Xenopus tropicalis: one gene and its partner. The protein of the gene in region 1 purifies or fractionates together with the protein of each later gene. This does not show direct contact. Links are inferred from orthologs where the notes say so. Each region holds a gene or a part of one and is shown on either strand. Other genes may lie near its edges.

Region 1 (4,321 bases):
CCTATATGTAAGTATTCTGCTCAATTTATTTTTCTATAAATATTTATTTAAACCTGATTATGCGCTGTTCTGAGGCCTTCTACCTGCATAGCTGCATTTATATTCAAATATGTTTCAGCATAGTACACAAGCTCGGCGTAACCAAACATTAACTTTGTAAAGAAATTGCTCAGACATAGTAGTATACGTGCTTTAATCAACAATACATGCCATGCAGCACATTTTGTGCTCTCAGTTCATAATTGGTCAGTACAGGTGATTTGAAGTACAAGCCCAATTAATAGTGACTATCAATGGCATCTTACAGCAGCCCTTTGGCATTGGCCAGAATGGACAAATTGCCAGTCCAGGACACAAAATGTGTCATATTCAGAGCTGTCAAACCCGGGAGATTGTTTCCCAGGGGCAGAGACAAACTCAATTGACCACCAATGAATTAAAAAACTTAAGGTAAATTCCACTGCCCCCAATGAGCTGACTGACTTATTAGCACATTAATTATTCATTTTAACTATTAATATGCCCTGCTTATTATAGAGGGACATCAGCTGTTTATGTTGGAAGCTATTTTACTGAATTATATAGTATCTCCTACATGAACTTTGCAGCGGGGGAACTTGTTCCTTACCCTGCAAGAAAAGCCATTTTTTTTAGTGTAGACTAGAGTCTGCTTAATAAAGTACGTTAGGGGCGCAAGCACTATGAAGTGCTGGACATTAACAAACTTTTTTTAAACTCTTTATTTAAGTTTTCAAGATTGCATCAAAATCTAGCATTAGTACAATACCAATACTGAGCTTTACTTATAATGTTTACAAGATTTTTTTTTTTTCAACATCATGAACCAGGGGGAAAGGGAAAGGGAAAAAGGGAAACGTAAATAAATGTTATTAATAATAATAATAATAATAATAAATAAAAGGATAATGTGATGAGAACAATGTGCAATAGGCTAGGAGTCTTAATTGGCATTAACACAATTTTTTAGCCCTACAGTTATTACTGCATTTGTTTCACACTATAAAACATATGGTGGCACCTTGGGGTTACTATTACAGTAATGTTACAGGATGTATATGGAAATGAAAGTCACTTACATGTCCCTTCATCCTGGCTGCCTTAGGATGATAAACTTTTCCGCAGACGCTCTCTACTTTATCTCCTACCAGAACTTCTTGCTACAAAGTTGCCTCCCTGACACGTCAGTACATTCTGCGCATGCGTAGCTGGCCTTCCGCGCAGTGTCACGGGAAATGTAGTTTTTAACGCCTCCCTGGTTCTATTCAGTGGCGCTTATTGTCAGTAATATCCTATGAGCTATACTACGCATGGAGACTAGGGTGGAATTGGTGAGGGTGGAGGTTATGAATTACTGTCAGGCAGCTAGGAGGGCAGGCCTATGTGCGGGGTCCTCTGTGTGAGTCGCGCAGTGTGACGTGATTGGTGTGCGCAGGCGGTGCTGTGCCGGGCGCCGTGTTGTGGAGCTGCAGCCATGTCCTACTGCAGGCAGGAAGGTGAGTGGGAATGTGCCCGGGGTACGGGGTGGGAGCCGAGCTGCCTGTGTCACAGGGGGACTGGGCCAGAGAAGAGCTGCAATGGGGGCAGCCTGGCAGTAAGGAGAACTGGAGGGGAGAGAGGCCGCACAAAGTGACAGAGGGCACAGGGACACAGGGGCTGGGCATGGAACCGAACCCTGAGGGTTATACAAGGGAAAACCTGGCCTCGGAGTTCCTTAAAGGGACAGTATCCCCTGCTAAGGCTCTCTGCTGCCTGCAATGAGTTCGCTATTTGCAAGGTCATTGGGAACTTATGTCTGTTTGAGCCTCTTAGTGGGGATCTAAACCCAAGGAAATGGATTACTGGAAACTTACCCAGGGTCCTCCTCTGAACTCTTTAGCATTTAACAGTCATTTTCTCTACGTCTGGGCTCATTAGATCAATGTCAGCAACCCAGGGGGCAGTTTAACTATGAAGGCATGGCATAGGCATACATTAGCTTTCTATTTGGATATAGATCCCTTTTAATTGTATAAAGCATGTGTTATTTATTGCAGAATTCTGCTTCTAAAATCAGGGCAAAGGGTTTATGTCTATGTATGTATGTATAACTTTATTTATAAAGCGCCACAAGGGTATGCAGCGCTGTACAATCTTACAATATACAGAATTACACACAGGGAGGACAAGTGATATAATAAATAAATACAATAAATATATATAAATGCACAGGGAATAAGTGCCATGTGGTATGAGACACAGTAGGAAGGAGGTCCCTGCTCCGTAGAGCTTACAATCTAACATACAGGCACAAACTGGAAGGTTAGAGTGCACCAGGTATGGGCATTGTAATATTCAATGTAAAAGTGTGATTGCTATTCTATGTATTTGTACAATATATATATTTATATCAAACCAATTATTGCTGAAATGTCAAATAATAGACTGCAGTTGTGTTATACTGATTGGTCTGTGTTCATTTTTGAAGGCAATTAAACTTTTTTATATGGTATTTACTGTAACCCTGCATTTATTTCATTAGTACAATGGCAAGAATACCATTGCTAGATATTTTAGCACATAAACACTTGCCTTCCTGCAGCAACTTACAAAGCAACTTTAATTTCCTAATACCAAACAATGTGCAGATATCATAGCATAGTAACTATTTTAATTTACAGTTCCCAAATAGAATGGATTGTTGTGATTCTAAAGCCTAATTGTTTCTCATGTACGTTTCAGGAAAGGACAAAATCATTTTTGTAACCAAGGAGGACCATGAAACTCCCAGTAGCGCCGAGCTGATCGCAGATGATCCAAATGACCCTTATGAGGACCATGGTCAGTAAGAGCCAGAGTGTGAGCTGTGTAATAATGCTTGAGCTATAGATAGTAGTGTGTTGCCTGCACTTTACATCAGCTGAGTCTTTGTTCTACAACAACTGCAAGGTCATAGGTGCAAAAGATAATTTTAGAAGCTTTAAGACTTTTCACATAAATCGCCATCATTTCTGATGGGAGCTACATCATGAGTGCAACAGTGGTATAAAAAAAATATTGTCTTATGGAAATCAGTTTGTATTAGATTTCCATGTCATTCTTTAGAGATGAATGGGCGTTTAATTCTTTTATTGTTTTTTATGGGCTATCGGTCATGCTTACGCTGCTCATACTTATGCTGTGCTGGCTCCAACACTCTTGGGGTCTACTTCATGCCTACAGATCAACATATTAAAGGCAAAGTCACACTGTAGTTATCAATGTTAAACAACGAGTGATTTACTGGCATACTTAAAAAAGTATTATGTCTTAATCACTTGTATATTGAAGCACTGCAGTGGCTTCAGGTTGTTATTGCCTATTTTTGTCAGAGTATGAAGTTTAAAGTAATGTGGTGGGGTGCTAGCTCCCTCAGCTGGCCGGAGAGTGAACTGCAGCATCTTAAGAGCAAACAGCAGGCAAATAACATACTGCAAATAATCAATGCTGGTCTTTAAGGGGAGGTATCACAAGAAAAATAAGGAACTTGATGGATATAATCAATTAAAATAATGTACTGTATCTGAAAAGTTACTGTTCACTCTCCCCCTCAGCAATCTGTCTTTATTCAGACAAGGGTCAGTCACATTTTGGTCGATAGGTCAAATATTTCCCTTTGCCTTGACAGTGTATAAAGCTAACTTTCCTTCAAAATAACCAACTCGGACACAAAGCTGCATGTAGAGACAGATTGCTAAAAGGAGGTTAGTGAAGAGTAACTTGATTATTTCAGAGAGGTACATGATTTTACTTGATCATATTCACAAAGTTATTGTTATTGCTTCACATGATTCATCAATATAGTCTCAAAGAAGGAAAAAAAAGGTTATGTTTTAATTAATACTTATAAAACTACCAATTACCTTAGAATTCTATTGTTGTCTCCATTTTAAACCATGAATGTTAAACTAGCCCTTCACTTGCTGATTTTTTTTAATGCTATTTTCACTAATAGGGATTGTTGGCCAATCATGTTTTGTCTTTTAGGCAATGAATACTATTGTACATGATATTGAATTCTGATTCTCCAGTATAATTGCTTTGGGGGCTGACACCCACAGATCTACTGCCATTTTTTTCTAAAGCATTCATTTGGTTGTTTTTGTTTTCCCCCAACCTTTATAAAGTCCATAACAATACAGCACTCAAGCTCAGTGTATTCTTTTATTATTTGCTGCCTCTTGTTTCTATTCAGTATCTGGATGTGGTTCTCATACAGGTGGCCGATGGTTCCAAACAGTTAAATGTGGAAAGGCTGTGGATCCAAACTAGATTAACTGAGCAT
Region 2 (3,657 bases), about 32 Mb from region 1:
AATGATGCATATGGATACTGCCTGCAAGCACTTGTTTTAATGTGCAAGATTTTGTCGGCTGATGTTTGGCTTACATTTATGAATGCCTATGTACAGCCTTAGGCCCCAGGTACACACAGTGTTTCCTCCACTTCTGTCAGACTGGGTTTTTCCTGCAGGCTGAGAGAAGCGGATCTGCTTCCTTATGCAGCTCTGTGTAGCTGCACTGACAGGACAGCTTTCTCCTCAGAGCAGCTACACAGAGCGAAAGCAGGCATTTTTGAGCCGTCTTCTGCTCTGTGTACTGCATGCATTCAGAAGCTGTACTTTTCAGTGGAGATAAATGGTACTGCATGAGGGAGCTCCCACTGCCTGAGAGAAGTGGAGGAAACGTTCTGTGTGCCCATGGCCTAAACCTTCAAATAATCTGAAAGACGGAATGAAGGATGTAAATTAGCAGTTACAAAATTTACAGGCAAAGATAAATAATAGAAGCACATATAGTCCAGTAAAACATAGACTTATTCTTTCATAACCCCTGCTCTGTTCCCCCACAGTCTGCAAAGTTATCCTCTGGGTAAACAGGGAGCACTGTGTGAGAGATTCGACTCCACACGCCACTTAGTTTGTCAACATCCATCTCACTGTGTGATTCTGCGTTCTTTGAAGAAACCATCTTCTCATTTATAAAATCTCTGACTTTTTCCTCAATTTCCGTAAGAGACAGTTGTGGTTCCAGTTCTGAATCTTCGAGAAGCACAGTCAATACTAGTGCCACATTTTTGAAGGCAGCATTCTCATGGTCACAATATTTGTACAGAATGAGAAGTGCACCAGGGTGCAATGATTCAATCTGGTGCAGAACTGCTGCTGAAGATGTATCTTGGAAGCCAGCAGTTAAAATATTATCTATTGCCAGTTTAGCACTCTCACTGTTATGGAAAGTTTTGTTTGCACCTGAAATAACCATATAGCTGTTGTTACGAGAGGCCGAATACACCCTTGCCAGTTGGTTGCTTAAGCACTGAAGTATATTCTTTCCATCACGGGCTGCAGTCAGCAAAATGATGGCAGGCTGTGTGTTGGCCTCGGACTTATTAAGGTGTAGCTCTAAAGAACGCCTACTTCTTTTCCATAGATCTTCAGACTGACTAGCATAAGATGACTTCAGTGCATTAAAGTGATTCTGGAACTGTTGTAGGACATTACTATTATTCCTACTCCTGGAAGCGCCATACTGGCTATACTGGGCAGCCAAAAATACAGCAACTGCCAGTGTGACAATAAGGAAAATGTTTTTAATTACGCTGGAAAACCATGACGTGTCTGCAAAAGAAAAATACAAATATATAAGTTATTTGCAATAACAATATTAGGTATCATTAGAGAGAAACTATAGCTGTGTTTTATGTTGCTGTGTTTTATAACTTTCATACACATCTGTTTAACAGTCACAGACTGTAGACTATGTACTAAGTACTAAAGTGATACCAACTGTAGATTCTACATTCTGCAGCACTTCTGGGTCTGGAGGCAGAAGGGGGTTTAAAAGAGACAGTAAACCCCTTTGTTCTACATGAGTGCAATAAATAAGGTTTGTGCAAAAAATTTTGCTTATTATATTAATCATAAAAAATGTATGGTATTTTTTATTTCTTGAGCTAAACAGGTCAAACAGGAAAACTAAAACTTCATGTTTGGTTCTTGTGAGGTACATAATTAAATCTACCAGTGCACTGATAAACCCCCTGCATAATGGGGAGATGGGTAGAGCAGATTTCCTGTGGGCAACTTTCTCCCAGTGTGCCATCAAACTAAAGTGAATGAAAGGGCAGTATTGGTAGTTTTGCACATTGCCCCATGTGTCAGCTTCTCTACCAGCAGAGCTATTAGCCCAAAGTAAAGCAGTGACAGTAGCAAAGAAACATGGATGTGCTATCAGTTCTTCCTTCAGCAGAGGTGTCAGTGAACTGTTATCTTATTACTTCCCCATTGTTCTCTTGATATGGGGGGGCGATATCACTCTTAAAGTGGCCACACATTTGATGAGTGAATCATCTTTTATAAAATGAAATAGGCCCTTTTATAAAATGAAAATGCCGGACCAGATCAACGAGTCAATGTAGTCCCTGATCCAATGGTAAAATCAAACCTGTCCGATTGAGATCTAGCCAATTTTAGACCAGATATCGGTCGGGTAGGCCCATCAGAGGTGCCGATACACAGGCAGATAAGCAGCCAAATGTCTGAAGGACCAATATTGGCAGCTGAAATCTGCCCATGTATGGCCACCTTAACATGCAATATGTAGCAGTAAAGAGATACTGAAGTTTATTAGAGCACAACTCAGATGGCTGAGGGCACTAACACAATGGTTAGCCTCATGTCAAATTTCATATTAAAACAAGTGTGAAAAACAGATTTCGGTACATGTTTCTACTGGAGGACCGCAATTAACTGATGCTTTTTGTAAAAAACATGTTCTCCCTTTTGGTTAGGACAGATTGTGGGTATTAATCCACATGATTATAGGAAAATTACTTATTTGAAAATAAGTAATTTTTAAATGTATCCTTATCCTCATGCTGTGCAATGATTAACACTGTGTTTAAATAGATGCCATAACAGAAACATATAATATGTCAAGATCGTAACAGATAAATACTATACCGTCAGAAGACAGGTCTTTTTTGTCTGTCTGGTTTCTCTTCTCAGCTTTTTTGTGGTCTGCAATGAATTTATATGAAAAATAAGTACACAAGTCAAAATGTTAAAAAAACAGCTAAAATATGCTATGACTATGAAGGTTTTTATTCATCCAGGTCATGGTATATCTAGTATTAGTAAATATAAAGCAACTGGACTTGTTGAGTAATTATTGAAGACATTTCACTACTCATCAAGCAGCTTCTTTAGTTCAACTTCAGTCTTCAATGATTACTCAACAAGTCCAGTTGCTCTAGAATTACTTATAGTAAAATATGCTACTTTGTGTTCATTTTTTTAATAAACTGTGTACACTAACAGAATATATAAAGCACCTGAATGGCCTTGAGTTGGTTAGCAATTTACTGTTAAGCCATACATGTCCAGATTGTACATTTTAATGCAATGATCTAAAACTAACATCCAGACAGAAATTGTTGCATTAAAATCCTAAAAATAACTAATCTGACAATGCTTTGGCCATTAATTGCCAGACAACAATCACGCCAAAGTTATGTCCCGGAAATACATTGTAGGTCACCAATGGATACAGTCATCAAAAAAATGATAATTTTCCGACATAACCTGTTTGATCAACTAAATGACCGATTGTCATGGTACAAAAATTGTCAGGCCGATAATTCAGGGCCCCAAACGGTCCAAAAATTGTACAAAACTTTGTTTCACATGATTATTATGGTGGGTGTATGGCCAGCTTTACTATCATCCGGTGTGTTGTTTTCAATAAGGCTTATGCCATACAAACCATTGTGTAATCTGATTAATTATCAAGACTAACTTTTAAACTTACCAAAGACTAACTTTTAAACTTACTAATGGCCAATAAAATCTTTGGACTCATAAGATGTCCCTTATGATTTTGGATTAATCTAAGAACCACTTCATGTGACCTGTGTATTTAACTACCGCTGTATGTAGAAAGTCCAGTAAAGGATTAGGTTAGAGAAGATA

The links. Proteins that work in one complex are often made in the same cells at the same time.
Region 2: the proteins of chchd4 (region 1) and tor1aip1 purify together in Homo sapiens (co-immunoprecipitation; 3 studies listed by BioGRID and IntAct, with this or other methods). This does not show direct contact. The link is inferred for Xenopus tropicalis from reciprocal best matches to the Homo sapiens genes CHCHD4 and TOR1AIP1.

Annotation. Positions count from the first base shown.
Region 1 is NC_030680.2:132,948,624-132,952,944, forward strand, and holds the start of chchd4 (mitochondrial intermembrane space import and assembly protein 40), read left to right. Parts: upstream 1-1,435; 5' UTR 1,436-1,492; coding exon 1,493-1,514; intron 1,515-2,739; coding exon 2,740-2,838; intron 2,839-4,321. Other genes in the region: tmem43 (transmembrane protein 43), read right to left, coding at 1,098-1,109.
Region 2 is NC_030680.2:101,235,475-101,239,131, forward strand, and holds part of tor1aip1 (torsin-1A-interacting protein 1), read right to left. Parts: intron 2,707-3,657; coding exon 2,650-2,706; intron 1,306-2,649; coding exon 509-1,305; 3' UTR 1-508. UniProt on the Homo sapiens protein: Required for nuclear membrane integrity. Induces TOR1A and TOR1B ATPase activity and is required for their location on the nuclear membrane. Binds to A- and B-type lamins. Possible role in membrane attachment and assembly of the nuclear lamina.